Saccharomyces cerevisiae S288C: one gene and its partners. The gene in region 4 interacts genetically with the main gene of each other region. Each region holds a gene or a part of one and is shown on either strand. Other genes may lie near its edges.

Region 1 (8,494 bases), on a different chromosome or scaffold from region 4:
CGGCTGCTGATATCGTCGCTAACAGACAATTGGCTGCTGAATACTTTAACTGTGGTGATGAAGCTGACGCTAGAATCGACATGTTTGGTGTTAATGACTATTCTTGGTGTGGTGAATCTTCATTTGTGGTATCGGGTTATTCCACCAAGATGAAGCTATATCAAGATTACTCCGTTCCTGTCTTCTTAAGTGAATTTGGTTGTAACCAAGTCAAGAGCTCTCGTCCATTCACAGAAATTGAAGCTATCTATTCCACTCAAATGTCTTCTGTATTCTCCGGTGGGCTAGTCTACGAATATTCCAATGAAACTAACAATTACGGGCTCGTTCAAATTGATGGTGACAAGGTCACTAAATTGACAGATTTTGAAAACTTGAAAAATGAATACAGCAAAGTATCCAACCCAGAAGGCAATGGTGGTTACAGTACTTCCAACAACTATTCTACATGTCCTGATTATGAAAAGGGTGTCTGGGAAGCTAATAACACTTTGCCTGCTATGCCAAGTGCTGCTTCTGCTTACTTCACATCTGGAGCAGGTTCTCCTATGGGAACCGGAATCGCCACCCAACAAAGTTGTGATGCTAAGGACGATGACGACGAAGAAGACGACGACACCTCCTCTTCATCCTCTTCTTCCTCTTCATCTTCATCTTCCGCTTCTTCATCTTCTGAATCATCATCCTCGACTTCAAAGGCATCTTCCTCCTCCCCTTCTGCTAGCGAAACGAGCTTGCTAAAATCTGCCGCATCTGCTACTTCGTCCAGCCAATCGTCCTCGAAATCAAAGGGTGCTGCCGGAATTATTGAGATTCCTTTGATATTCCGTGCTTTGGCAGAACTTTATAACTTGGTTTTATGAGTTTTCACCCCCGTTCTTTACCACATTGTTTCTAATTATTCCGTTAGCGCCGCTTACTTTTAATGTTCTTAAGATAAAAAAACATCATTAATATTATTATTAAAAAATTCATATATATACCTATATCTATATGCACTATTTATGCTTCCACTTTTCTTTTCTTTCTAAATACATCATTCCAAGACGTTTTTGTCCATCTTATGTAATGCATCCTTGATGCTTTGCAATTCTACTTTCTGTCCACGAACGTGCAATCCAGATGCAATGTTCTCTAACGCTGATGAGATCGAAGTTGAATCCTCAGGATTTAGTTGTTCTTGGATACTTTTATTTTTTTGCATATGTTGACGGATTTTTTGATATGTGTAACTGATCGGCAGATACCTCTTTGCATCGGAAGCCGCATTCATTTGTGCATTCTTGCAGGAACATATTTCGGGTAGCTTGATTGAATTGTAATTTACGTCAGTTTGTTGTTCATTTAGATCCGGTGACAACGCACTGTTGGAAGAGAAAGAGCTTGAACTACATTTATTCGAAAGTGATTGACAAAAATTCCTACTATGGGGGTCTGATCTACATTGCTTGCAGCTTCCAGGTATCCATGACCCATCCTCTTTAGTGATCGGTCTATTCTCGCTATCGTAGATTTCTTTGTCTCCACAGCATTTCGATATTGATTTCTTAGCATCGGATTCTATTTTCTTTTCTGAACAGCAAACGGGGACTAAGGATGGCATTATGTTATTCTTTTGGTTGCAACATGTTACTGGTTTCATGGCATCTTTATTCCTACAACATTTTATTTTTTTGTTGCCACTGCCTGCACATGCATTGATACTGCTGCTGCATGAAGACAGAGGTGAATTAATATGGCCATCAAGCGATGAATTCGTTGAACTAAACTGTCTGCCGCTCAGATATTGATAATCGTTGGCTATATCAATCTCAGACAAAGACTGGTCTGTTAATACCGCGGGCACATGAGATGTTAACAATGGGCCTTCAGCTTTCCTTTTTTTAAACTGACAGCGCCGATTGGTTTAAAGTTTTCTACCATTTCTAATATCGAAATAGGATTGTCTGGCGGGTTTTCTGGCTGCTGTTGAAATGGAGTATTAACAATCAAAGGCAAGGCTTTTTGCAATTCGTTGTTTAATGCTATTGATTTTTGCAAGTTTTCCTTTGTATCGGAAAACTCAGATTCCAGCAGTTTATATTTCCTTTGCCAATCATCGACCAAATTGTGTAGCATCTCAACCTTCTCTTCCAGAACCTGGATTCTTGTTGTTCTGCGTTCCCTATATGCTCTTTGCGCATCTCTATTTTGCCTCCTTCGCTTTTCCACGCTATCGACACCGTTTTCATCACCACTTCCGTTGCCTTCATCATCAGATTTCCCCTCATGACCTTTTGCGCCTTCGTTCTCATGATCTTTTGTGGTCATTTGGTCTTTCTGGTTGGAAGTTTGAACCTTCTTTATCTTGGACGATCCATCATTATTAGCTGATGCATCCCCGCGCTTGGATTTCGGTTTGCGGCCCGGTTTTAGGCGCTGTGGTAACTCCCAATTCTTGGATAACTTAATAGCTGACGGTCCTGATGTACTCACATTTCCATCTGGTGAGGATGGAGGTGGAGACGTCGTAGACATGGAACCCTGTTTATGCCCCAATTTGAAGCCTTTGGGCTTTACGCTAACTGCTACTACAGACCTTCGTTGTCTCATGATCCATTGAAAGTGTGCGTAAATGACAAAATTTTGTGCCTTTCTATATTCTTTAATTGATGATTTACTTCCTTGATAACGGCTCAACAAACGAAGAGCAATTTTCAAATTTCAAAAGAAAAAACCGTTGAAACTGTTCTTGAGCAACTTTCAAGCCTCTTATGATGATGTGCTACAGATTGAAGTACAGGTGAAAAGAGGAATAACCAATAGCCTTGTTTGCTTTCTACGGTGGGGCAGCGGATTTTCTCTTTTATGCTTATGCTTCTTCTTCCATATATTACTAATTTTTCTCGAGCGAGCAGCTTTACTGCGTGCATTACCGATGAAAAAAATCGCCGATATATGAAAATCCAGCTCATAAGATGCTGATTAAGGAGTCATGAGTGAAAGGACCCTCGTGGCCATCACAAAAAAGACACTTTGCTCCTGTATAAAAAAAAAAATAAGGCGGTAGTTTAGATAGGGTGTCTATTATATACATGCATAATAATTTAGTTTTGAAGGGTCGCTGGTTTTGCCGTGACGTACGCTTCTCTTTGATCTTTTGCCATTGTTGTCAGAGAAAAGAGAACCGATTGACTTTTTTTTTTTAGTTTTTTTTAGTTTTTTTCTTAGGCTTTGATCTAATATCAATCTTTCTTAATGACAAAAGTCTTCGCAGCTTGATCGGCCGGAATGGGAGGTACAGATTTTGCTTCTTCCTCTTCATCTAGGTTGATATCATCTGGCACATGCTCTCTCGAAGCTCTTTGCTTAGCTTCCTCTTCCTCCTTCTTTATTAGTTCTTCTTGCTCCTTCAAAACGTTCAATTTGAACTCGTTATCGTCGGATGTCTTCTTTTCTTCAGCTTCCGTGGCTTCCGCAGAGTCGGTAGGCTCTGCGTTCTCTTTTTCCTGAGATATTTCCTCTGTCTTCGCTGTTTCTGCCTTTTCATTAACTACGACTAGTTTAGGAGTAACCGCAGAAGCGGTGGTAGCTATAACAGACTCTTTTGCGGTGGCTTCTTCCTTCGGTATAGCAGTTTCCTCGGGTTTTTCTTCCGTCTTTATCTTCTTTTCAGCAACTTGCTTTTCAGCTTCAGTTTCAGCAGCGGATGATTTCGATTCAGATACATCTAGTTTTGCGACGTTGTAAACGGGATCTGGAATGGAACTTAGCACTTGTAATATACCGTCGTAGTACAGATCCAAAAGGTCGTCATATTTGCTTTTTGTTTCTTTTTTTTCAGCTAGTGGCGAGAATGCCTTTGAATAGTTCTCCTTTGGAAGTCCTCCAAACGTGAACGTGGAACTCAAAACCATCAAGACGGATGGGATTTTTTGTCTCAGTCTCAATTCTAGCCAAACTTTTAGATTATCGACCAAGTCCTCCTTGGATACACCGTACGCTTTCATACCACGAGACACACAAGCTTGATACAGCTCTTCTTGCGATAAACTTTCAACGCCTTCGTAGTCAATAGTTTTATCGTCGTTCATTATATCCTTTAGTTTGGAACGAATTTGGTAACGAAGCATGTTATCGTTACCAAATGGCCTTAGTGACATAAACTTCGACATTGCTGCCAATTGTGGTCTTGACAAGTTATCCAAAACGCTATCGTTTTTGAACATTTGCGCAATGGCGCTTATTTCATCGTGTTGGAAAGTCATAATCTTACCTTCCTTGGCAGAATAAAGCTTCCGGAAAAAATTCAAAAATTTTTGCTTCTTCTCTGCATTTTCAATGGTGTTGTAAGTGATCAAATTGGATTCTTCCAAAGTCTCATGCAAGAATTCGGATGTCTTTTTTCTGATCTCGATGAGCTTATTTCTCTTGGCTTGCTTATCCTTGCCGGATTCGTAAGTGGAGGGTAGTAAGTTGGGGAAGAGTTTCAAAGCGAAAGGCAAAAATAGTTCGGCGAATGGAATAATAAGGAACGCTGAAAAAGGGATCAACCTAAACACATCGCCCATTGTCCTCCTCAATTGGTTCCTCTCTCTTCTAGACAACTCGTAACCCTGAGCAAATTTAATCAAAAGCTTAGTAGAAACTTTGATTTCGTAACCCAAAAGTTTCGTCCCATTAGCATAATGTTTCAAGGCGTGCTTCACTTTGACCATAAGCGTCTCCTTGGGCTTGGCAGGAGCATCGGTGGATGTTGGAGCTACGGGCTTCGTAACACTTTTCGACTTATCAGTAGAATAAAATCTCAAAGATAAAGGATAGTTGGGCTGTACTCCTTGCGCTCTCAAAGGCCAATGACACGAGGGAATAGTGGAAGCTATTAATCTAGGGCCTTGATTTTTAACAAAATACAAGCTTGCTTGACGTCTTGTCACACATGACGCTCTTGATGCGAAATTCAACATCTTAGTATATTATCTGTAGTGATAGAGATAGCGTATATTATGCGCTGCCTGAAATGCACTGCGCTGTTCATATTCATCACCGTGGCAATGACTGATCCATTTATTTGGAGATGATTCAACGAATAATTTTTCACCGCGGGATTATCGCCCAAGACGGGGTCGTTTGAGGGTAATACCGTGGCTAGCTTTATGGCTTGTGAAACTATTGCCAGTTATGTGGTTACGTATAATCTACCGTATGTGTGTGTGTATTTATTTATGTAGGTTGCTAATGCTTTGGTGATCGTTTAAAGGAACTTGGACGCAACCCTCCCACGGGTGCCAGGGCTTGAAATCTCTTTCAATGCTGCTATTTTGCGCGACTCTGGGTACACCTTATACCCCTTGTTTCTATGGTTAAACCAATTGAATCTCCAGCAGAGCTCGTGAGCAAATAGCTCGCCGAAGCCGAGCATCATGCCGTTGAGGAAGGGCAAAAGTAGGTTGATGGAGCACGAGCCTACAAAGGATACAAGGCTCTGCACAAGTGGGCTCTCGTCGGCACTCACTGTGTTCTGCACCTCCATACAGTCTTTGTCTTCTGATTCGTCATCTGACACGCTCTCCCAGAATCCCACAACCTCTGTCATATTTCTGTCTTGTGGCAGTTTCGTAAGAAGGGGGGTGATGTTTCTAATATTACAGTGATGTTCTATTGTTCAAGTAAAGTGTATGGCTGTTTCTTATGGCGCGGAATATACCACTTCGTTATAAGTGATTACATCTCGTAACGCATTCCTCTTGTTCAGTGGTAGGGGAGGCCGATGGTAGTGGAATAATACGCTTTTATGGGCCATTGGTATTACTATTTATCTTCGTTATAATAAATAGTACACGTTGCAGACATATTTGGAGGAGAGTTTTTAAAGTACTGTTGGGGTGCTCTTGCTGTGCATTGTAAGTAATCGTGTCCCAGTGGCCGAGTGGTTAAGGCGATGCCCTGCTATTTCCTCAGAAAAGCAATTAGGCATTGGGTTTTACCTGCGCAGGTTCGAATCCTGTCTGTGACGCATTTCTTTTTTGTGAATTCTTGCTTCTTATCCTTCTACAATCCTTTCGTGACATTTATTGAATCATCTCTACAAAATTTTTACACATAGCTAAGGTTAGCTTGTTCTACATTACACAAGTGGTAGCAAAATCGTTTACATTGCACTCAGCTATATCAACATCACGTTCTACCGCAACTAGTAATGAGCTTGCACATTAGTAAACTGATTGAGCAATATCGTTCCACTAAGGACAATGACCTTAAATATATGCTTTTAAGGCAAAACTTTAAAATTAACGACATAGAGGATGAGCTGGCTCCTCTTGTTAACGAATTGCTGCTCCCGGTATTGGTCGAAGAACAAGACATGGAAATTCTCAACCTAGTATCGTTTCAAGTGCTCCCCGATTTAGTTCTTTCTATGATCAGCGACCCTGCAGCTGCTCAGTTGGGATGGGTAATAAGCTTGATATGCGACCCTTTATTAAACCAAAGCATGATACATGCAAATCGTTCTTTTGTTCTGATTGAGACACTAAGAAATGTGTTACAAAAAATTGAAAACTCCCCTCATTTAGATTACCACCAACCAGTAAACAGTTCATTAGAGTTTATCTCCAAATTTATTGTTGAAATGAAAAGGCATATGTGTGATGTGGATGCTGCGCAGCTTTCACATTCACTTTCTGAAAGCAATATGCTAATTTACATAGAATCCCTTAATCTATTGCTAAAATTTAGCTTCTTTTCAGACGCGGCAAGTCCTTCAGTAATGGTCACACTGCCCTTTGATATTTTGAATGACGTTTTTACAATTGCGCAGGACTATTCTGCTACGAATACAAATGAAAGCATTGATAGGATCACAGAAAAATTACTTTTGACTTCTACGCAATTAACTCATCCGGTGGACCTGGAAAATTTATGCCCCAAAATGAAGTACAATACTTTAGCAGCAGTTTCTCGAATATGGTACAAATTTGGCCCCATAGTCGATAAATTATTTACTAACCGGCTATTACCGGTTCTATTCCCCCCGCAAATGGGAGAAGAATGTAACGTCGAAGATGTTCTCGAAATAGTTCATAACTTCCATCCATATTTTTCTATTCGTAGGCTAAAGGATAATAGGCCTCTATTGTCAGATTCGACTATTAGCCAGCTAAGAGAGGGTTTGTTTGGTATGCTCAGCATATTAAACGACTCGCTGACAAGGACGCAAAATGAAAACGACCATGGTAGCGACAATCTGATCGACAGTGACGACGGATTTGGCTCAGACAACGATCCTGAACAACAAGCGTACCTCGATGAACTCGTATCAGAAGGTTATGACGAAAACATGTATGACGGTGATACGGATGACGAAGACGCAGATGATATAAACGTTGAAAAAAATGATGAAGCCACCAAAGACATTACAGAAACGAACAAAATCCTTTTAATCTTTTCTGAGTTACATTATCCTCAGGAGGAGCGCTTCTCTGAACTGTTGGTTGAGTTGCAGACTAAGATCGCTATAAACACATCCTTAATTGATAAAATTCTTTCAAAAGAGACAACAGAATTACCCACTCACAATGGGGAAATCGCAGATTTGAACGAAATTCTAAATGAAGTGAAAGGCAATAAACCAATTAGAAAAAACGTTATTTTTTGTACGTTAGCGCATACTTTGTCGTTGCAATCCGGTTCCGAATTGTCTGTTCTACAGCTATCAATAGAGGTTATTGATCATCTGCTGGTTAAAAATCATTCAAATAACATCACTCGTGGCGAGCAATTTCAATTGATTAAGTTGATATTACCCCATCTAAAAACAAATAAATCTTTTATTGATACATTAAAAGCAGGAAATTTTACCCAAAAAATTGATGAAGGAGTGACCTTAAGAACAATGATTCTTTCTCTACTACTACAACTATTCCCACTGGATTACTCTATGCTAGGTGAGATTTTACCCACTATTGCGCGATATTCTGTAAGGGATAAGGATCTTGGGGTGAGAGATCTGTCCTTCCAATTGCTGGACCAAATTCTACGCACATACTATAATTACCTAATTGGTATCGATTGGGAATGGTATAAAGATGACTTCTATCAAGTTTTGCAAGAAACTTGTATTAAAAAAGACATAAATACCAACCTCTTGCTACAATTTCCTCCTTATCTCCCTCATGACTAGATAGTTTTATACCAAATACATCATGCATCTTTTTTTTTTCCTTATAGTTTGTGTCATCAACATGTTTTTGCCCGTATTAATACACAATAATCTATCCTCTCAGGCAGGGAGAAGAAAACTAAATATACATAGCACCCTCACACAGGATGTCAAAACTATCGTCTTATCCTCATGCCGCCGATTTTATAAATATGGAAGAACCGCCAAAATCTAAAGAGTTTTTCGATGATCTTTGTGCCGTCCCTAATTTACTCAAAAGACGTTTTCCAAACTCTCGAAGATCGACGCATTATTGTGAGGCTTTAAATTATTCTAGGAAAAAGCTTCCTGTTG
Region 2 (7,578 bases), on a different chromosome or scaffold from region 4:
CCTGTACAAATTGCGATTGAAAGGATGGAATATTGCCCACTAAACTTGCAGGCAATGAAGGCTTTGGCAAATTCTCGTAAGGCGACGGGTAAAAATTATGATAATTAGAGTGGTTAGATTCAGAAAGTAGTAAATGAGTATCCGGCCTAATCCTCTTGTTCATAAAATTCCTATGAATAGCCTCGTTTGCAACATGCTGTTGGTCTACGCTTTCTTTATAATCATTAGCATGAAAACTCCCACCAGAATTTAAACCGCCTTGCAACATTTGATAATCTGCACTATTTCTTGCACAGTCAGAATGATTGGATCCGCTACGTGATATTGCTCCGTGGCAATGCACCAATGGTGTACTTACACCAGCGTTCCCGGCGTCATTTGACGCCAACGGAGCGCTTAAATTCCCATTGTTTTGTACACTGGAGGAATCTTGACTCGAAACTGTACAACTCCCAGAATGGGAAGCTGGTTGCAACACGGTTGCTCTTCTTCGCCTGCGCTTCCTTTCATTCAGAACAACACGTGGTTTTTTCACATAGTCACCATAATCAGATGGTTCTATGATATTATGAGGAAGATCAGTGTTGTTTTGATGAACATTAAGCAGGTTACTCATATCAACAGAAGAGTATTCGTAGAATGTATTATTGGATCCTAAAATAATGACAGCAATGTCTACTTGGCAAAGTACTGACAATTCATGAGCCTTTTTAAATAGTCCTGCTTTTCGCTTTATGAAAGTAACTGTACGATTTCTATCATCTTTGATAGGTTCAATTTCAATTTTTCTTCTACCCATTTAGCAGAAATTTTTTTGAAAATAATTGTGTTTGCTTATCTAGAGCTTTATTAAATTTTTTTCTGATGAGATAGGCCTGCTCGAAAAAATAGTCTGTCTTTGAATTTGGCTCGTATATTTCTCCCTTCGAATGAATGATAAAGAAAGACTCAAAGGAATGATGTAGTGTTATATAGATTGGCTAAAATAATTTGGCAAAAGAAAGATGGATAAGGATAGTTCATGTTTTTGAGTCCTTCACGAACATAGGAAGCCGGGTATGCGTGGAGATTTAAGTTTTGCCAAGCCTCCAATTACTCGAGCGAGATTATTTTTGCAGAAGAAACAAAGACGCCGCTTGTTACTAAAAAAAGAAGGCAACAATAATGCAAAAAGTTCGAACCAACTGTACCTCAAGCCGTTTTGTAAGCCACTATCATCGGGAACGGTACAGGTAGAATGATAGATGAAATTTACGTAAGCGTTAATGGAAAACAATAACGATGTGGTGTAAAAGCTAGTGCGTAGTGTGAGTGCCACTAGTTTTCTTTGACAGCTTAAGAGCAAGCTTTTGGAGCTCACAATCAAGTGAAACAAGAATTATGTTCATTTTCTCCTTCGGAACTGCAGAATAAAAATTCTTTATACTATAAACACCGCCATTATCAAAAAAGTATTGCTGAATCATGGTATACAGCGTGAAAATCTTCATGGCATTTCTACAAATTCTTTTTAGTTAGTATCGCCAACCATTAACCTTTTTAGTAATGCTGACGTTAAACGAAGGCGAAAAAAAATACTTGGCAACACCATCGTTTATATTTTTTTCAAATGGAAGTGTCGGCCGACGTAGCATAGCAGGAAAGATTCAAAGGCAAGGGTTTCACATAACGTTACCCTTCTGACCACGCCCCTTCTTTCGATCCCACTAGTGCGGACGGATTATCACGCAAGTTTTTTAACGCGAGACATCGGAAAATATTTATGCCGATTAGATCCGGCCCCTGAAACTTTTTGTTTGATACTTTCAAACGCACTACTCTACCCCATGACATAAAAAATATCTGTCTCCGGTTATATATGTCTAAATAGAATTCGGGTAGCATTTTATTTTTATCGCTTATAGGAAAAAGATATTTGCATATATATATCTATATATCCTATATACATCTATATAGTTATTGTGTAAGGGGTTTTTATAAGGTCCGATACTTACAGAGATTAATTTGTAAATAAAAGCAGAAATCTTTATTTAAGAAAATAGAAGATTGATGGGAATATTTCGTTGGAACTATCCAGAGAGTTCTGTCCCCGGCGTTTGGGGAGAAACAACTTCCACTATTGACTGGTGTGAGGAGAACTATGTCGTTTCTCCCTATATTGCCGAGTGGTCAAACACTTTAACTAACAGCGTATTCATACTGTCAGCGATTTACACAACTTACTCTGCTTACAAGAATAAATTAGAAAAAAGGTTTTTACTTATTGGCTTCGGGTACGGTTTGGTCGGAGTAGGATCATGGCTATTTCATATGACACTGAAGTATAGATTCCAACTATTGGATGAACTTCCAATGATATACGCCATGTGCATTCCGACATGGAGTTTAGTATGCGAGGCCAAAGAGGCATTACTTAACGGAGATAATCACAAGAAGGTTCCTCTATTTGAACAGATATTCATCGGCGTAATTATCGGCCTGGCCGTTACAACAGCAAGCATACTCTACGTTATTTACAAAAATGTCGATATCCATCAAATTTTGTTTGGCGTACAGATTGTAGTTGTGGCTGCTACTGCAGGAAGTTTGACGTACAGATACGTCCATGATCCACTTGCCAAAAGAAATCTCAAGGCTTCAATGGCGCTCGGCGCAATTTTGTTCTTATCTGGCTACATTTCGTGGCTACTTGATATACACTATTGTTCGTTCTGGGTGCACGTTAGAAGAAGTATTTTGGCTTTACCACTTGGTGTACTGCTTGAACCACACGGATGGTGGCATATATTAACTGGTATGGGGATTTATTTCTACATTGTTTCTTTGGAACATTTAAGGGTCATTACGCTCAACGTCAGCTGCAATTACCAGTTCATCTGGAGATGGAAAGTCTTCCCTGAACTGATATGGAAAGGGCGCAAACCCTCAACAAGATATTCACTTGAACTATTTGGCCCATACGTAGAAGATCAATCAATTGAAGTTAAAAAGGAGAAGTAATAATTATAGCATAATATATATTCATAATGTATAGGCATATTTATTTTTTATTTTTTTTATTTCATGTTCTATTTAATGACGAATCACGAAGAAAATATATCTAAGAAAAGATCTTTTGAATCCTTGATTTGCGAATAGTTTAAATGACCCAGCTTATTGCTCTGGTGAAAAAAAACTTTGTGCGGTCTCAAAGCCGTCGGCGGCAAAATAACGTGAATTGATGAAAGTAAATAAACAAAACAAAATCTCTAATTGTTGTAACACAAATACTAAGAAATTTGTTAGCTAATTCGGGACATGTACCAAAATAATGTATTGAATGCTATTTTGGCTTCTGAAAAATCAAACTTTCAATACGATAGTGGAACAATATTAAGAAACCACAAAAGACCAATAATAACATTTAATAACAACATAGAGCACACAGTATCCGAACCTAATAATTTTACAGGCTATGAGGAAAAGGAAGATTTGGATATAATGGATATTTGTCCTTATTACCCAAAAGCAAGAATGCTGGCGGATGCCATTCAACATGCCAAAACGAGCGCAAGTGAAAACAAAATGGAACTATCAATGAAAACTATCCCATGTCTCAAGAAGGAAAACGTCCATGTTGAGAAAGGGCACGATTGGTCTCAACTCAGTACGAGCAGAATTTGTAAAATTTTAGAAGACATAGCAGATAAAAAAAATAAAACTAGAAGGCAATCTGCCCCATTACAAAAGACGAAGTATTTCCCAACAAATGAGAATCAAAATACCGATATAGAAAATCAGAATTGGTCCCAAATCCCCAATGAAGACATATGTGCACTTATAGAGAAGATTGCTAGCAGACGCAATAAAAATCGCAAACGGAAAAATCTTTCATGTTCTAAAGTCCAAGAAATTCAGGGAAATATTGATTTACCCAAAAAAGACGTACAAGAGGGAGATATTTCAGATTCGTCTCTATTTGCAGCAGTAAGAGGAACCAAAAAAGTTTCCGGATATGATTACAATTCAGAAGATAAGATACCTAATGCGATACGTCTTCCTTACTGTAAGCAAATATTACGATTATTCTCACTTTTACAAATGAAGAGAAATGACTTAATAGTCACCTCTGAAAATTGTAATAGCGGAGTTTTCTTCAGCAATTTTAATTATCAACTTCAAGTTAAATCGAATTGTATTGCAAATATTTCTTCTACACTCAGTTTTCTACCCCATCATGAAATAACCGTATACACATCCTTTATTCTCTATCCAAACGTTGTCGATAATATTTGGGAATGCACACGATACGCTATTCAACTTTTGAAGTCCGAAGCAGCACAGTTTACGCTACTGCGTGATATATATAGTGGCTTCACAATTATACTTTCAAATCATCGATATCATCCTAAGGGTTTTAGCGCTGATTACTGTTACAGTGCAAATGAATTGACATTATTTCTTTTTGTTATTCGAACAGGGCAAAAAAAAGTACTTTATCGATCTATTCCTCACAACACAGCAGCAATTGAAAAAGACAGTTCTTTTGATACAGAAAATAGAAAGAGAAGGTCCGAGGAAGAGGTTGTTCTTAAATGTAGGAAGTGTTCTAATAATTCATTGGCATTAAAAGAAATCAGCACCTATCGTTTGGATAGCGCAGAAGGTTTTGAGAAGTCTCAGCCTCTAAAAGATGAAGCAAAGCTCAGTGATATGAATTATGTACAAGGTAGTATCAGCTATAACAGGACTATTCTTACCGGCTTATGGAAATTATTTCACAGATTGTGCTGCAAAGATCGTTATAGGAAAACCAATCTGTCAGAAACATTGTTCTATGACGATTCAACGGAAAGATGGGTTAGAATGGGAGAGTTAATGCACTATTGAAAGGGAGATGCTTCAATAACTTTTTTCATGAAAAACTATTTAATAAATTTAATATATATACTTCAGAATGAAAAACAAATGAATAGTTTTTACTGAATATGTAAGTGGTATGTGGAATAAGAAACTCAAATGAAGCAATGGCTATTTACAGATGTTCCAAAACTTTTCGCATTTATATACATATTGCCTTAGCTTGGAGGTAAACGATATATATCACCGTTAACTTTCATTCTGTGTATGGCAACTTTAGCATCGTCCTCGTAGCTTTTCGGTAATTTATCATTTGGTTTACTTTCAAACAAAGATCCCATTAAAATCATATCATTAGTTGTAGCATCACACAAAAAGGCAATATAGTCTACAACGTCACGGTCTAACGTCTCAGTCTTCTTAGTTTGCTGATTGACTTTAATTAGTCTTTGCTTCGTATCAAATTTGTAAACCAACTGTAAATGCTCTAACGGCATTCCGGGAATCATGATTGGTTGCACTGAGACTAGTTTAGGAACTGCATTAAACTTTATCAACTGCCAGTCCAGTGTTGCATTACCTGGAAGTTGACGGGACCTAGCCTCGAGAGCTTCCTGAACCCATAATGAAACTAACCCTTTGATGTCCGACAAATTTTTATGAGCAAATGACGTGTTTACATTGATATACGTCTCTATGGCTTTGTTTTTCCAGAGTAAAAAAGAAGGTTTAATGCCTGATTGAAAACGAAACAATGCGACTTGAACAGAGTTCAAACCAAACGTGTAAAGTCTTCTGATCAATGCATTTGCAACAATGAGAGGATGAGCAAATACATTTGGAAGGTTCTTGTAAGCCGAGGGGATAAATATTTCGGCAGCAACACCCAGGTGCCGAGGATTAAAATCTTGCTGCTTACTTTTATCTTTCTTCTTTGTAGTTTCACTTTCTTTATTCAAAATTAACCTCGAAGTTGAAAATAATCGCCGCTTGTTAAATGATATCAACAAGGATCTTGGAGGGAAGAAAAGGCATGTAGATCTTAATACACTCATCTCATAAGCTTAGCTGAATGGATAGGCTTGCTTTCTGATGGAAATTTGCCTTGCTTTTCCAACTATTCCATTACTCAGGTTTTATTTTTTTATTTTGTAATATGGGGAGAAGGCCGGCAGAATATTTACGGACAAATGAATAAATTGGATTGGATTGACTAGTGGAACGTGTAAAGATCGCGATACTCCGTACCAATCACCGAAAGATTGCCCGTAACCGAAATGACTCCATTCTCTGAATTTTTTGTGAAACCAATATCTGAGACTCTTCCTTCATCTTATCAACGTATTGTTCAGTCAATTAAGTAAGAAGTATATTTGAGCGCAGCCTTAATCATATATAGCACCAGTTATATGTTTGCCCCTCTCTTGAGTTGAAAAACACATAATACATAGTACTGTACTTTTCTCTTTTTCATCGTTGGCGAAAATATAATCTTTCTCAAAAATATATATATATGTATATATATCCTTAGATTTGCCGTTGACAATAAGGTGGGCGGCAAATCTACGAAATGCGAGGCGGTTAAAAGAGAGTGACAACATTTTCATAAAAATATTCTGATCTCAAACTGAAGACATAAAATAAGGATATGAGCTACATAGTTGACCTACAAGTGCGAGGATCATCTCTGAGGGTTATCAAATGTATGTTTAGAGAGGATGAGCAAATTTCTTCTCTACATTCTGGTTCTGACTCGAAACAAAACAGCAACAAAAAGCTGGGAGAATTTTTGAATCTGTTAAAAGCAGTGGTCAAGAGGAAGTTGGAAAGTTTCCCAAAAGACCGTTTAAAGACTTCGATTATAACTGGCCAAGAATTAATGAGAGAGGGGCAAGGAAGTATTGAAATTAAGGATCCACCAACGGAGGCGCAACAACATTTGATTAGAAGCCTAGCAAAAGTTTTATTACACCAGTTTTCAAGCATAAATGGCAAAGTTAACACAGTAAATGAAGGACAAGATAATTTGTTTCTATCCTTATTCGTTAAAAAAATTTCTATAGAGCAACAGTCCACATCACACGTCTCTATTAAATTGAACTTTCATGAGAAAATAAATTTGGGTCAGCACATAGATTCTATTTTAGATTCAGAGGAGACCAACGAGTCGGACACTTATCACATGGGATCTGTTGACGAGTTCATTATATATCCCTTTTGCTGTCTGGAAGAGCAAGATGAGCTGAAAAATGGCAGCATACTGTCCACAGAGTTCGACAAGATTGACTTAGAACTAGACGAGGATGATGGTTTTGAGGGAGAAACTTTAAACAATTGTATCAATTCGGTGGGAAATTTTGACATTCCACTAAGTAAGCAAACACTAAACTTAGTAAATATATCATATCTTCCAGGCACAACTTTCGAGGGCCAATGGGAATCGTTGTATTTTGGTAACAATATTAAAGAAAGGTTATATAGCTACGCAACTATATCTCTCAAGATAGCAAGATTCAAACAAACTGGAGACTCCAATCAAGAAGACATTACAACGCTAATCACAAATAATAAATTACTCCTTGTCCATGGTCCTCCGGGAACAGGTAAAACAACGTTATGCAAAGCACTTTGCCAAAAATTATCTGTGAGGCGGGAATTTTCAGACGGTTCCGATACCATTGATACTAATTATAAGGGGATAATAATAGAATTGTCTTGTGCACGCATCTTTTCTAAATG
Region 3 (7,693 bases), on a different chromosome or scaffold from region 4:
TATTTTTCATTATCAAATTTAATCATAAAGAATTGGTTTCTCAGAAAAATGAAGAATTGAAATTGCAAATAAATAGAGTAAAGACTGAATTAAGAAGTGCATTAAAATCTACCGAGGATGATCTAGGCTTTAATGTTCAAGGGTTGAAATTCGTCAAGCAACAATGGAATCTAAGGCATAACTACGAATTCGTTGACGAATATGACCAACAGGAGAAAGAGAGTAATAGTGCAAGGAAGAGAGTTTTCGGGACCGTTATATAATAAAACTATTATCCTACATAATACCGGCATTACTCTGCCCTTTTCACACTTCAAAAGGATAGATTAAATTATCTGTATATTATACAATTCCAATCATAAAAATTGTCATTCCGATTGCCCTTCGGTAATAATGGGCATATCCAAATAACGGAATATGTGTTTTTTATACTTATTGGTCGCTGACATATGCTGTTTTTTGCGAGATGTCTCTCGTCTCTGCAGAGCAGTTGTAAAATTATAGGTCATGCATTTTTTTTTTTTTGATAATGAATAACTATCTAATCTAACAAAATATACGTGAGATACTATGCCCATTTCCCTAGAAGAGCCATTAAAGCAGCTCCACAACACATGATGAGATATGCACTAAGCATTTTTTTGAGGCCATCAGGTCCTTTGAATTGATTAGAGTATAAGAATTCATGAGCCATTAATTCGACTAGTCCAGTATAAATAAGAATTCCTGATGATATCGAGTCAAAAACACCATTAGCAATTAATGCTCTTCTAGAGCCAGGTATCCAAGAGTGTCTGACACCAATACCTACCGCGACTGCTATGGGTGACGTTAAAGTGAAGGCTAATCCCATTAACCAAGGCATGTACTTCTTACTTTCTGGCCAATTCGTTTCGGCAACTCTTGTGCCTAGACCCAAACCTTCGAACATTTGGTGGAAAGTTAAAACGATAAATAAGGTTTCGAATTCTTCACCCGCGACAGATAGCGAAAGACCCACAAATACAGAGTGAAAGATGATGCCAAATTCTAGAATAAAAACAGCTAGTATCTGATTGAGATACTGCTCTTTATCTTCCTCCTCGATACGTGTGGCCAACTGGGAGACATCTTGATGGTCATTTTCGTGAGAATAATGATCTTTTCCAGGTACAGAAGCGAGATTTGTCGCATGGGAACTGGTTGGAACTAGTTCATTAGCTAGTGACTCTGTTTTTCCCGGTTCCAGATCATAATTAGTAACATTTGAGCCGGGTTCTTTTTCCTTTATAGGAGTAGCGACAATCTCTTCATTTCTAGTAGTGTACGGAGTTTTGTCATTATGGATGGAGTAGGCAGCTTCGTTATTGAAAGATACAGGATCCGAGTCCATATTTCTGATGACAAATCCCGAACTGGGAGCATCAACATCAATACTGGTAACTTCCCCATGGTCCCCATGATCGTGTCCCAGCGTTTTCGCTACAAAATAATGCGTGATGATTTCAGTGAAGAAAAGTAAGAAAAGCGACATTAAACAGATCCCAAAAGCCCATGGATATTCGGCAAATGTGCCACCAAGACATTCATCTCCCAGAGCTTCGGCTGCGGGCTGTAGAAGATGAACGAACGCTGTGGCAACAATGACACCAGAACCGAAGAACTTCGCTATGAAAAAGCACCAATTTGGTAGCCTTATAAACGAATACCGTGATGACAAAATTGGGAAATAAACTCCCAATCCTGACGATATCAGTATAATGAATACTGCCAGAATTCTAAGACCTGCGTGCCCATTGTAGCCGTTAGAAGCTTGGCAAGTATCTACGGAGTCATCCCTCGCTATAAGATCAACCATACTTTCGAATATGCAGTGTCACTTGGAAACGCCTGCAATGTTTTCTTTGGTTGATGCACCGTTGTATTTTCGGAGATCAACTTTAGCTTTCTTCCGGTCTAACCAACAGGGTGTATGATTCAATAAACAGTATCATCATATATAGTGGGTTTTAGATCGTGTCTCCCAAAAGGTTGCGTCATTTAAAATCGTCACACTGTGTTTTACCAAAGGATGTGTGAAGCTGGTTTGTAGTAGTTAAAGGGCAATGTACCCTAAAGGTTGTGAAAAATTTTCATTTTCGAGAAGGAGTCGCATATAACCTTTAGGGTTATGTCCCTATAAACGATGACTATTGCCTTTTTTGGCCCTTAAGACTACAGTGTACGTAAATCGTAAAGAAATAAATGTATTATATTATTGTTACTATTATTTATTATGTTAATATCATGCATAGATAAATGTTCGTCAGAGAGCATCAGTTTCGTTTGAAAGGGTGCGGTTCGAGTTTTGCTCGTGCGCTGCTGTGGATGGGGGTGGATCCAGTAATCCATGTTTGCGCATATCATCTCGCAGCTGTTCCTCCATTTTCATTAGGACGCTCCCATCTTTATCCCGGGCGATAGTTTCTTTTACGGGACTTGTGTCATGCGGGCTGTCAAGCAGGCTTTTTTTGGGAGATGTAAGTTTCTTGTTGATCGAATGTTCTAATTTCTTACCGCCGGTGCAAATCATCCGACTTCTATGCACCATTAGAGCATCCTCCCTATTAAATCTCTTTCCGCATGGGCAGATGTATTTCTTGGCATTATGGGAGATTTTGTGTCTTATTAAATCATGATTGCGAACAAACGCCTTGGTGCAACCGGGAAAGTCGCATGAATACGGTCTATCTTGCAAATGTGTCTGAATATGCGACCTTATGTTGTATCTACGCTTGAATACTTTGTTACAGTTAGGGTATAAGCACTCGAATAGTTTGTCGGGTAGTTCCTTGACGTACTGGTCAATGGTACCCGGAGGCAGAGTAGTTGGTTTCTTGGTTATTTTCATTGGCGTAGTCCTAGGTATTATTTCATCTGGTAAAGGAGACGTACTATGCAAAGTGGGGCTTTTGTGAATATCATGTGTGACAGGTGGTACTTGCGGATAGCTTTCCACTTCACAGTGACTGTTATTTCGTATGGGTGTCTTAATTTCTAACTGATGATCTGTTAAATCCGGTGCATTTAGAAGCGGAGCTAGGTTACTTCCGTTCTTTGGTGGAGCTTTGACGGGAGTATGTTGAAATACATGTTTTTGTGGCAAAGAATTCTTAATTGGAGTGTTATTGCTGGAACCAGGAATAGGAGGTAGTACACTTGATGACGCTAAAGCGTTTGCATTTCTTAATGTTGGGTTCTGGGTATTTCGCATGTGGATGGGTTCAGTGTCATCCTGCAGTTGTGATATTGTCGAGACCGTGGAAACTACGGATTCCCTTTTCTTGTGGATAGGTGACAACTGTGTTCTAGGCGTGAACGTGCCAGCAGCATATCGATCATCCCTGCTTTTATCTGTGCCGACGAGGAAGGGCGATCTCAAACTATTTCCATTTATCCTTGGAGAGATACTTAGCCCACCCGGGGAAGTCTTTTCGAACAGACGGAATATGTTATCACCAGTACTATTTTTTTTATCATTATTGTTTTTATCACTGGTGTTATTATGGTCATTATAAGTCAAGCCGTCCAAGTTTAAATTATAATTTTGTGGAGAAAATGAAAGCAGTTCAGAATCTCTCAAATAACCACTGTTAGAGGAAAAAAGGTTCAATCCATTACTTTCTGGGCTTTTATTTGGATATCGTTGCCTATGGTATTTCCTGGATGGTGAACCATTTATTGAAGTATTTGACATCCGAGGCGATATTAACGTCGGAGGAGGAAATTGATATCCGCCATTTGCAGAGTTCGTTGTGACGATTATAGCATTATCTTTCATTCTACCGTTTTGCATGGCAGGTGTCTTTAGTATTACTGGAGATCCAGGTTTGGAATTAGAATTTGTAGCCCCAGAAACCAACTTCTGCGCCACCTCTTCTTGCTCTTCTAATACTTTACGCAACTTTTCTTGCTGTATTTGATTGTCTCTCAACTGCTTCTCCAATTTTTCGTTCACTTCCTTTTGTTTTTCAAGAGCAATTCTTAACTCCTCCTGCTGTTTCAACAAAACTTGGCTCAAATAGCTATTTTCACCATCATTTTCCCTTATATGGTCAAAGTCATCATTGTTATTTTTTACCGTATTATGATTACCCAATTCATTTATGAGTTCCATGGGTTGCGGATCTTTAGACATATTTAGAATGGATTGCTGTAAACTGGAAATACTCAATGTCTTATTATGGCCGAGAAATCCAAATATCGCTGTGCCACTTAGACCTCTCTTGTGTGAGGACATTGATTTTTTGCTATAGTGGGAGACTTTGTTGTTTTCATCACCAAGGTTCCAAGTTCTATCAATATTCTTTTTATCAGAAGAACCATCGCCCGTCTTAGGAGAAGGCACTAAAGGAATATCCAGATCTCTTAACTCTTGAGTCAACAGGTCATCGATGTTATAGTAGTCCATACCTAACAAGTTATCGAGGCCATCATCGTTTTCATTATTCAAAATATAATTGTCGGGTGGGGGTATGGTAGGATTGACATTATCATGATGTTGAACATACTCCTCATCTTGAGTGTCTTTCGCGAAGCCTGAGGGATTTATATACCACGGATCTACAACGTTATCCATGATTGTATTAACACCGTTTTTGGTCCTATAGATTTCTTTAGTTATTTCTTGAATTTATGCCTTGTATTTTTTTCTTCTAGCACTTTAACTGTTGCTTGAGTCTCCCTGCAACGTAGCTTTTGTTTGCTAGGTACAATGCCGAGAGAGGTTGTTATAAGTTTATGTGTACTATAAAACCCTTAATGAAAGAAAAGGGACAGAAATATTGCGAGTAAACAAACAGTACTCCCTCCTTAATATTTGCCCGTTAATGGCTAAATGCTTTCTGGAGTTGATTTACTAGCTACAAGCATCCTTATCCTTTACCTGTAAACCAAAAGTGTCCTGAAATTTTCCCAAAGTGCCAATGTTTACATTTTGCCGTTTTGAGATATATATCGTATATTATGACAACCTTCACCTATCTGACGAGCCGCTCTCAGTGCCCCGGTATTTTTGGGCGGCTATTCCTATAACACTATTAGTTAAAAGGGATTCTAATGGAGTGACGGTTTTCATCACAATAGATAGAGTTAACTAAGAACTCTAGTTTGTATGCAAAGTCATTATTGAGTAGTAAAAGCGCCCCCATCGTCTCGTTTAATTGTTGATAACGTTTTAATGTGGCTTTTGAAGGGTTGCTAGCGATGGCAATTGAAACATGTAAATTTTGCCTACTTACAATTAAATCCTGATAGTTTGAAATGCCTGATTTCTGAAGTGCCTCAGCTATTATCGTTTTGAAAGGAGAAATTTGTGCCTTATTGGGACATTCTGAGACAGGGAGACCGAGGTACAAGGTGTTGGCTCGTTCTGATATATATAACTTCGGATATGAGCAGATTTGAAGTTTAAAAGGGGTTATTTCATTATTTCGTAAACCATTACGCATTTCTTGAATGAAAACATGTCTTTGTTCTTCAGTTTCAAACAACAACGATCGAGTTAAGGAAACGTGTAAAGGTTTGGGGGCTCCCAAGTGTGAGATGAACAACGGGTCAAAATCCACCAGTTGATACGGATTAGTGTATTCCTGTTTCATAAATGTTTCTTTATATTTACATATGATTTTCTGAAGTTGTCGGTGAATCGCTGGAGTCGGACGCCACTCAAAATATGTGAACGAACGCCAAAATCGACTCATATTCATATCCTGGTGCTCGTACTTTTGTAAATTCGGAGGGATGTGGTACTTCAATATAATTGAATCCGGTATTGCAGGTAAATCAGTGGAATCGGCTTTCTGTATGCAAGTTTTCTCCGTGTATTCGATTTGGACCTCACTTTTGTTACTACTTTCGCTCTCGGTATCACTACCGTCACTGCTAGAATAGTCTGCAGATATGAATTCCATAGGCCAGTCTTCTTCTAAGCGATTGGTAACCTCCTTCACTTTAGAACACCACCAACAGATCGTTCTCTTGTTCTTTGTTCTTTATGGTATAATATTCACATGGTGCTCTACCGTTTTTCTTGTCGGCCCAGCCGGTTAAATCTCGAAGAGACAGAATAGAAGCTCTGTGGCTGTAAGTAAGGATAAGCCAAATGGAAAAGTTATAGAATTAGGACAACAATATACAGTTTTTTTTTGTACTCTTATAGAATACACACACATAGATACGCACGTAAAATTAGAGCAAAAGATGGTACAAGAATCACGTCCAGGGAGTGTAAGAAGTTACTCGGTCGGTTACCAAGCAAGGTCCAGATCGAGTTCTCAAAGAAGACATTCGTTAACACGCCAACGTTCCTCGCAAAGACTGATTAGAACCATCAGTATCGAGTCTGATGTGTCTAATATTACTGACGATGACGATTTGAGAGCTGTCAATGAGGGAGTAGCGGGTGTGCAACTGGACGTCTCTGAAACCGCAAATAAGGGACCAAGAAGAGCATCAGCAACTGATGTCACAGATAGTTTGGGTTCGACTTCGTCGGAATATATTGAGATTCCCTTTGTTAAGGAAACATTGGATGCAAGTTTACCTTCGGATTATCTGAAGCAGGACATATTAAATCTCATTCAGAGTTTGAAGATATCCAAATGGTATAACAACAAGAAAATCCAACCGGTAGCACAAGATATGAACTTAGTCAAGATCTCTGGTGCGATGACAAACGCAATTTTCAAAGTTGAATACCCTAAGTTACCATCGTTGCTATTGAGAATATACGGACCGAATATTGATAATATCATTGACAGGGAATATGAATTGCAGATTTTGGCTAGGCTTTCATTGAAAAATATAGGTCCTTCCCTTTACGGCTGTTTTGTAAACGGTAGATTTGAGCAGTTTCTGGAGAATTCTAAGACTTTAACAAAAGACGACATTAGAAACTGGAAGAACTCTCAAAGGATTGCAAGGAGAATGAAGGAGTTACATGTAGGTGTTCCTCTCTTGAGTTCAGAAAGGAAGAACGGGTCGGCTTGTTGGCAAAAGATTAACCAGTGGTTGCGCACGATTGAGAAAGTCGACCAATGGGTGGGGGATCCTAAAAACATTGAAAACTCTTTATTATGTGAGAATTGGTCCAAGTTTATGGATATTGTCGATAGATATCACAAGTGGCTTATTTCTCAAGAACAGGGTATAGAGCAAGTCAACAAAAATCTTATATTCTGCCATAATGATGCCCAATACGGCAATTTACTTTTCACTGCTCCTGTGATGAACACACCGAGCCTATACACTGCACCTTCGTCTACATCATTGACTTCCCAATCAAGTTCCTTATTTCCTTCGAGCTCCAATGTCATTGTAGATGATATAATCAACCCGCCAAAGCAGGAGCAAAGCCAAGATTCCAAATTGGTCGTCATTGATTTTGAATATGCAGGTGCCAATCCCGCCGCATATGATTTAGCGAATCATCTTTCCGAGTGGATGTATGATTACAACAATGCTAAGGCCCCACATCAGTGCCACGCTGATAGATATCCCGATAAAGAACAGGTTTTGAATTTCTTATACTCTTATGTTTCGCATCTAAGGGGTGGTGCTAAGGAACCCATAGATGAAGAGGTTCAAAGACTCTATAAGTCAATCATTCAATGGAGACCCACTGTACAACTATTTTGGTCGCTCTGGGCCATCCTACAAAGTGGTAAATTAGAGA
Region 4 (8,227 bases):
TAGTTCTTTTCCAGGAGTTGGAATTGCTTTCAAAGGAATCTCTGGTCTCTTTTTTCAATTATCCGCTACATTTTAAGTCAAGCAAATTGATAAACCCCGGATATTTGCAATTGCACGAGTTTGAAATTTCCAATCTTTTTACTTGGATTTCTACATTGATTCTTAAGGATGATAATGGTACGGAGAGTCTTTTTTTTGAAAAACTACCACAATCTATAAAATTGTTAATAAAGTTACACACGAGTCTAACTACGTTTTTCGTGATGGAAATTTCAAACGTCAACAAAAGCAGTAGTGAAAGGTTAACTACTTGTAAAGTTATATTACAAATTTTGAACTACATCCGCTGGAAAAACGGAAGTTTGGATTTATTTGATTCAGAGGAGGATGAAAGTCCTCATGCTATTTGTCCACACATTCCAGCTTTTATTGAAACTGCTATTGCGCATGCCATAATATCACCAGAGTCTAGAAACTATGAACTTTCGTGGATCAAAGCTTCTGAAAAACTTTCGGACCCTACTAAAGGAACCCAAAATCTAAGATCGATTAGTAACGTTTTAGAGAAGATAGATGACATACATATAAAGAGATTCATTGAGATTGATGATGTATTCAGCAAAAACTGCAAGAATTTATGCCCCTGCCCTGGTTGGTTCATTTCAAGGTTACTAGAAATATCTCAGTTTGTCCCTAACATGAGTATCACTAATTCGAAACTTATTAATTTTGACAAAAGGAGATTTGTTAACAACATAATATCTAATGTCTTGGATTTAATTCCGAACGAAAGGGAGTTTCCACTTGATATTGAAATGAGTGACGAAAATCCTTCGAAAAGAACTACATTTGGCCGCATTCTGTTCAATAATTTTGAAGATGTTAATAAAGTATACAGAAAGAAGACTAAAAAAGTATCAGAATCAGAAGCCATATCGGAGAGATTTCAAGAGCAGGGAGTATTTAATGAAATACTAGTCAATGAAATTGAAAAAATAAAGAGGGAAGCCAGAAAATTAGAGGTTTTACTCGATCAAGAAAAGATCTTGAAGAACTCTGCTGCTTTACATCAGGCCGTTCCGAAAAAGAATAGGAAGTCTGTTATTATCTCAGGTACTCATAGTGACAACGATCATAGCTATAATATCAATAAGAACACCGGTCAAACGCCTTCTCTAGGTAGTGTTATGGAAAGCAATAATTCAGCAAGGAATAGAAGAGATTCAAGGGCCTCCTTTTCCACAAATAGATCATCAGTAGTGTCAAATTCCAGCCATAATGGTGTTAGTAAAAAAATAGGTGGATTTTTCAGAAGACCATTTTCAATCGGTGGATTCAACACATCCAGTTCTAATTATTCACTCAACAGTATATTATCGCAAGAAGTTTCAAGTAACAAATCCATTCTACCAAGTATACTTCCAGAGGTTGATTCCATGCAACTACACGACTTAAAACCTAGTTATAGTTTGAAGACCTTTGAAATCAAGTCAATAATGGAAATAATCAATCACAGAAACATTCCGGCTTACTACTATGCGTTCAAGATAGTTATGCAAAATGGCCATGAATATCTGATTCAAACGGCTAGTTCTAGTGACCTCACAGAATGGATAAAAATGATCAAGGCTTCCAAGAGATTTTCATTCCATTCGAAAAAATATAAAGGTAAAACTCATAATAAGATATTTGGGGTACCATTAGAAGACGTTTGTGAAAGAGAGAATACCTTGATACCTACAATTGTTGTGAAATTGCTGGAAGAGATTGAGCTGCGTGGGCTAGATGAAGTGGGATTGTACAGAATTCCTGGTTCCATCGGCAGTATAAATGCACTAAAGAACGCATTTGACGAAGAAGGTGCAACAGATAATTCCTTTACATTAGAGGACGATAGATGGTTTGAAGTGAATGCGATCGCAGGCTGTTTTAAGATGTATTTAAGAGAGTTACCAGATTCTTTATTTTCTCATGCTATGGTGAACGACTTTACCGATTTGGCGATTAAGTATAAAGCACATGCAATGGTAAATGAAGAATACAAGAGAATGATGAATGAGTTACTCCAAAAGTTACCTACATGCTATTACCAAACTTTGAAAAGAATTGTATTTCATTTGAATAAAGTACATCAGCATGTTGTAAATAATAAAATGGACGCATCAAACTTGGCTATTGTATTTTCCATGAGTTTTATAAACCAAGAAGACTTAGCCAACAGCATGGGGTCCAGATTAGGTGCAGTTCAGACAATCCTGCAAGATTTTATTAAGAATCCAAATGATTATTTCAAGCAATAAACAATTTTCGTGGTAAATGTATACAATCCACTGCTGAGAGAGAAAAAATTTGGTCCCGCCTATCGAGGGTTTGAGTTTTATATTTTTATATTTACAGAGAGATATAGAGCCTTTATTCATTTTTTGTTATTAATGAAGTTTGATTTGTGAACAATTTTGATTTTGGAATTCTGCCTCTTCTCCTTGAAGCTTTCTTGTAACTTCTTCTCATTATCTTGCATCAATTGCCTTCTTTCCGCCTGATCTCTTGCCTTTTGAATGTTATGTTTTAATGATTGGAAGATGCCCATGTTCTCTGTGGGGGAAGCGCCAGCGATAGGAGTCCTTGGTTTAGCTACTTCTGTTATCTTCAGTTTCGAACGAACCCATTTGTTTCTCAAAATCATTGTCTGTAGGACGGAGAAGGCACCATTAAAGGCAAAGTAGAGGACCACAGCGGACGATAAGTTCATTGTGGCCGGTATAGAAATGATCGGTAGAATAGTGAAAAGACGCTTCATGGGAGAACTGAATTGTTGAGCACCAGTCTCACCCCCCAGCCTTGTAAATGAGATGAACACAGCGGCAGTGATTACTTGCAAACCTAAGTAAGGGTCTGCTTGAGTCAAGTCTGTAAACCAAGCGACACCTTGATTAGCGAACCCATCTACTGGGTAGTTAGCCATGTGTCTCAATGCGTTGAAAAACCCAAGGGCGATTGGAATTTGTAGCATGGGTGCGGCCAGCCATCTGTTCTTAATGCCGTGCGAGGAGAGCAGTTTTTTCCTTTGCATGGCGACTAGCTGACCTTGTTGCAAATCTGTAGTGGACATTAGCTTATTATTCAAGGCGTCCAGCTCGGGCTTGATATGGGAATTTCTAGCAACAGTATCAGAGGACTTGACATAGAGGGGAAACATCAGGCATCGAATGAGGATGGTGGTGGCCGCGATAGTTCCCCACCAAGGCAACCCAGAGTAAACATGAACGGCCTCCAAGACGTGTTGGATAATGTCCGAGGGCCAGTACCAGGTTTGGGCCAGGCCAATGCTATTTAAGTACCCTATATGGGAGGACAACTCGCCCACTGTTTGGGTCGTGTTAGCGATAAGGTCCGAAGTAGAAGCGGAAAGAGAAGGAGCTGAAGAGGTTAATTCATCGATGGAAGGCAACTGGGTTTGGATTTCCGAGACATCGTTGGCATTTGGGCCCGTCGAATTAAATCTTTTGGCCTGAAAAGAGATCCATGACGGATGGGGCCGGGGCAATACTATGGTTCGAGCGGTGGCCAGTCTGGAAGAGGCAGCAAACCTTGACGTGACGAGTCGAGAGGTGAGTTTGAACATCGTCGGGGAGGTTATTCTGTGGCTCCGCTTGTACGTGAACAGATACGTATAGAGGGCGAGCCACTGGTTAAATTTTTCATGGCTCGGATTACTTCCGTACTGCTGGCTAAAATCGAAATCTCGGCCTGCTGAGAGTGTTTTGAGCAATCAAGGGAACATCTGAACGTGGAAGAGCAGACGAGGCATTAGCTCGAACATAAGAACGGAACACGTCATGTTGACTATCACGAAAAGACTGGTGACCACCGATGTGCGGTCGCGAATACTGTTAAGCAGTTTAAACGGGAAAATGTCCGATGCACTGGCGCTGCTGCGTCAGCAGCAGCAGACCAGCGTGGATGTGGAGCTGCTGCACACGATGCTAGCGCGAGCCGCTGCGCTTGCCCATGCCGACACTATAGCATACATGTGGTATCAGCATGTGATGCCACGCCGGTTGCCAGTAGAGGGCCGCCTGCTATGTGAAATGGCTGGCGTAGCATTGTACCAGGACAGGCTCTTCTTACCCGCGCAGTTCCTCCAGCACTACCAGGCGATGAATCGCGATCGTCGCACCAGCCCAGAAGATGAACTGATTGAGTATGAGCTTAGACGGATTAAAGTCGAAGCGTTTGCGCGTGGCACAATGCACTCCACGGCGCTCAGGGAAAAGTGGAAGGTATTCTTGCAGGAGATGGATACGCTACCAGGGCAGCCGCCATTAAGGCTGCGCGACTTCCCGCAAATGACCAAGGCTATGGGCATAGCATTGATGCAGCAAGATGAGCAAGCAGCTGCCCTGGCGTTGTTTGGACGACAGCCCCTAGTGATAAAGAACGAATGGTCACTACCGCTACTACTGGCTGGTGTCCTTTGGCATGTTCCCGGCCCAGCGCAGGCGCGACGTGTGCTGGCGGAGTTCCGTCAAAGTTATCGCGGGCTGCCGCTGCTGGATGCCGAACTAGTGATAAAGAGAAGAGGATTTGAAATCAACACATAAATCTGGGTGGAGCATCGCTGTAACAAGGAACAACGCGTGCTAGCAAGCGGTAATGAAATACAAGGAAATCAATTTCTTCAAGGGCCATCCGAGCTCGAGGTTGCTGCCTCGAGAAGCAGTAATTCAAGCGACTGCGGCTATATTGGGGCCCGAGACCAGGGAGTACGATAACGACCCCTATAACAGGCATCCGCTGACGTACGGTTCGGACGAAGGTGCCCTGTGGGTGCGAGAGCAGATTTGTACGTTTCTGAATGATCAGCTGTTTAAGTTCGAAAATGGGGCTCGGAGCAGGACACGGGCAGACTATTTGAATCTGAATAGCGGCGCTTCGTATGGCATGCTGAACATCCTTCTGCAAACAACCTTGCCACATAACGGGTATACCAGGCAGGCGTTCATCATCACGCCAACATATTTCTTGATCAACAATTGCTTCACAGATGCGGGATTCAAGGGGAAAATGACCGCCATCAACGAGCAGGGCCACGACTCGATTGATTTCGAGTCGTTGATTTCTGCCCTTGAGCAGCACGAGGCGGAGCCGCAGCCCCATAGTACCACAGAGATGATTCAGGGGCCAAAGTTGACCAAGAAGGTCTACAGGTACGTTATGTACTGCATCCCGACGTTTGCAAACCCATCGGGAAACACATACTCGCTTGAGACCAGACGCAGACTTATCGACATCGCTCGGAAGTACGACATGCTGATAATCACTGATGACGTGTACGATATTCTAGATTACACGACGCCCTCAGATGAGCTGCCCTCTCCGCCCCTAAGGATGGTGCACATAGACAGAAGTACAGCGCCCTCCGGTGAGGACTCGTTCGGGAATACAGTGTCCAACGCAACTTTCTCCAAGCTGATCGCCCCTGGGCTCAGATTTGGATACCATGAGTCAATCAACGCGAATCTCGCCAGACAGCTATCTAAAGGTGGTGCAAACGTCTCTGGCGGAACTCCCTCACAACTGAACTCCATGATCGTGGGTGAGATGCTGCGTAGTGGTGCCGCCCAGAGATGCATTGCACATCTGAGATCCGTATACTCCGAGAGGGCCACTGTCTTGACCTCGGCGCTTAAGAAATACATGCCCCTAGGAACCGAGATTATGCCATTGAAGGGCGGCTATTTTACTTGGATCACTCTCCCACCAGCGTACAATGCCATGGAGATATCCACTATTCTTGCCAAGAAATTTAATGTCATCCTTGCCGACGGCTCCAATTTCGAGGTCATCGGCGATGAGAAAAACTGGGGTCAGTCATGCTTTAGGCTTTCTATTAGTTTCTTAGAAGTTGATGATATCGACAGGGGCATTGAGCTGTTTGGTGCTGTTTGCAAATCTCATGCGATCACCAATAACATAACTATGTAGAAGGAATACGTATATAGGTGAACGGTAATAAGAGGGTAATTTTTCTACGGGCAAAGGCAAGGAAGAAAAAGAAAAAGAAGGAAAAAAATATAATGTGATAAAACAAACAAGCAGCGAAAAAGCGAAAGGGAAGAGAAGTGTTTCTAGAGAAGAAAGTCATTTTAATAGTAAGTCAGACTCGTCTGCTACCATCATCCAGGTACCGCTTTCCTTTCCATCATCATTAAAAAAAATGAACATGCAAGACGCTAACAAAGAAGAGTCGTACTCGATGTACCCGAAAACCTCTTCTCCACCACCACCTACGCCAACCAATATGCAGATTCCTATTTATCAAGCGCCTTTGCAGATGTACGGCTACACTCAGGCCCCATATCTATACCCCACACAAATACCTGCCTATTCGTTTAATATGGTCAACCAAAACCAGCCAATCTACCATCAAAGTGGCAGCCCACATCACTTGCCTCCGCAAAACAATATTAACGGCGGAAGCACTACCAATAACAACAACATTAACAAGAAGAAGTGGCACTCTAATGGCATTACCAATAACAATGGAAGCAGCGGTAATCAAGGCGCCAACTCTAGCGGTAGCGGCATGAGCTACAACAAATCCCACACCTACCATCACAATTACTCTAACAATCATATCCCCATGATGGCCTCTCCAAACAGTGGCAGCAATGCGGGCATGAAAAAACAGACCAACTCTTCCAACGGCAACGGTTCTTCGGCTACTTCACCATCGTACTCTTCCTACAACTCTTCTTCACAGTATGATTTATACAAGTTTGATGTCACTAAATTAAAGAATCTCAAGGAAAATTCATCAAACTTGATTCAATTGCCACTGTTCATAAACACTACGGAAGCAGAATTTGCTGCGGCAAGTGTCCAAAGGTACGAATTAAACATGAAGGCTTTGAACCTAAACTCTGAAAGCTTAGAGAACTCATCTGTAGAAAAGAGCTCTGCCCATCATCACACAAAAAGCCATAGTATACCAAAGCATAATGAGGAAGTAAAGACAGAAACACATGGGGAAGAAGAAGATGCTCATGATAAAAAACCACATGCGAGCAAAGATGCGCACGAGCTTAAAAAGAAAACTGAAGTAAAGAAAGAGGATGCTAAGCAAGACCGTAACGAAAAAGTTATACAGGAACCTCAAGCTACTGTTTTACCTGTAGTGGATAAGAAGGAACCAGAGGAATCTGTTGAAGAAAATACTTCCAAGACATCTTCACCTTCACCATCTCCTCCAGCAGCAAAATCCTGGTCCGCCATAGCATCAGATGCGATTAAAAGTAGACAAGCTAGTAACAAAACAGTCTCCGGATCGATGGTCACTAAAACACCAATTTCTGGTACGACCGCAGGCGTTTCATCAACAAACATGGCTGCGGCGACTATAGGTAAATCCAGCTCTCCCCTGTTGTCCAAGCAGCCTCAGAAAAAGGATAAAAAATACGTTCCACCTTCTACAAAGGGTATTGAGCCACTGGGTTCGATTGCGTTAAGAATGTGTTTTGATCCCGATTTCATTAGTTACGTTTTACGGAATAAAGATGTTGAAAACAAAATACCAGTCCATTCCATTATTCCAAGAGGCATAATTAACAGAGCCAACATTTGTTTTATGAGTTCTGTGTTACAAGTGTTACTCTACTGTAAGCCATTTATTGATGTAATTAACGTTCTCAGTACACGGAATACCAATTCAAGAGTCGGCACATCATCCTGTAAATTATTAGATGCTTGTTTGACTATGTATAAGCAATTCGATAAGGAAACCTATGAGAAAAAATTCCTAGAGAATGCTGATGATGCTGAAAAAACCACGGAAAGTGATGCAAAAAAATCATCAAAATCCAAGAGTTTCCAACACTGCGCCACTGCCGATGCTGTCAAACCTGACGAATTTTACAAAACTTTGTCTACTATACCGAAGTTCAAAGACTTGCAATGGGGCCATCAGGAAGACGCAGAAGAATTTTTGACCCACTTATTGGACCAATTACACGAGGAATTAATTTCTGCAATTGATGGCTTAACCGATAATGAAATTCAAAATATGCTGCAAAGTATTAATGATGAACAATTGAAAGTTTTCTTTATTAGAAATTTGTCACGTTATGGAAAAGCAGAGTTTATCAAAAATGCTAGTCCTAGACTGAAGGAGTTGATAGAAAAATATGGCGTGATCAATGATGACTCTACCGAAGAAAATGGTTGG

Evidence for each region.
Region 1: mutations in OXA1 (region 4) and MDM38 impair growth when combined (synthetic growth defect), as found in Saccharomyces cerevisiae (one study listed by BioGRID).
Region 2: mutations in OXA1 (region 4) and MBA1 impair growth when combined (synthetic growth defect), as found in Saccharomyces cerevisiae (4 studies listed by BioGRID).
Region 3: of OXA1 (region 4) and USB1, extra expression of one rescues a mutant of the other (dosage rescue), as found in Saccharomyces cerevisiae (one study listed by BioGRID).

Annotation. Positions count from the first base shown.
Region 1 is NC_001147.6:268,779-277,272, forward strand, and holds MDM38 (ribosome-binding protein MDM38), read right to left. Parts: upstream 4,947-8,494; coding exon 3,225-4,946; downstream 1-3,224. Other genes in the region: GAS5 (1,3-beta-glucanosyltransferase), read left to right, coding at 1-863; YOL029C (uncharacterized protein), read right to left, coding at 1,037-1,642; YAP7 (Yap7p), read right to left, coding at 1,855-2,592; MIM1 (Mim1p), read right to left, coding at 5,234-5,575; LAG2 (Lag2p), read left to right, coding at 6,179-8,161; YOL024W (uncharacterized protein), read left to right, coding at 8,308-8,494.
Region 2 is NC_001134.8:594,066-601,643, forward strand, and holds MBA1 (Mba1p), read right to left. Parts: upstream 5,895-7,578; coding exon 5,058-5,894; downstream 1-5,057. Other genes in the region: SMP1 (Smp1p), read right to left, coding at 1-799; YBR182C-A (uncharacterized protein), read right to left, coding at 1,296-1,490; YPC1 (phytoceramidase), read left to right, coding at 2,050-3,000; YBR184W (uncharacterized protein), read left to right, coding at 3,298-4,869; PCH2 (Pch2p), read left to right, coding at 6,488-7,578. UniProt on the Saccharomyces cerevisiae protein: Mitochondrial inner membrane-associated mitoribosome receptor that spatially aligns the mitoribosome exit tunnel with the membrane insertion machinery and allows cotranslational protein membrane insertion.
Region 3 is NC_001144.5:402,226-409,918, forward strand, and holds USB1 (phosphoric diester hydrolase), read right to left. Parts: upstream 5,931-7,693; coding exon 5,058-5,930; downstream 1-5,057. Other genes in the region: snoRNA-binding rRNA-processing protein DIP2, read left to right, coding at 1-263; low-affinity Zn(2+) transporter ZRT2, read right to left, coding at 569-1,837; DNA-binding transcription factor ACE2, read right to left, coding at 2,285-4,597; bifunctional choline kinase/ethanolamine kinase CKI1, read left to right, coding at 6,220-7,693.
Region 4 is NC_001137.3:470,418-478,644, reverse strand, and holds OXA1 (membrane insertase OXA1), read right to left. Parts: upstream 3,626-8,227; coding exon 2,417-3,625; downstream 1-2,416. Other genes in the region: GTPase-activating protein BEM2, read left to right, coding at 1-2,300; PET122 (Pet122p), read left to right, coding at 3,840-4,604; YER152C (2-aminoadipate transaminase), read left to right, coding at 4,657-5,988; mRNA-binding ubiquitin-specific protease UBP3, read left to right, coding at 6,221-8,227. UniProt on the Saccharomyces cerevisiae protein: Mitochondrial inner membrane insertase that mediates the insertion of both mitochondrion-encoded precursors and nuclear-encoded proteins from the matrix into the inner membrane. Links mitoribosomes with the inner membrane.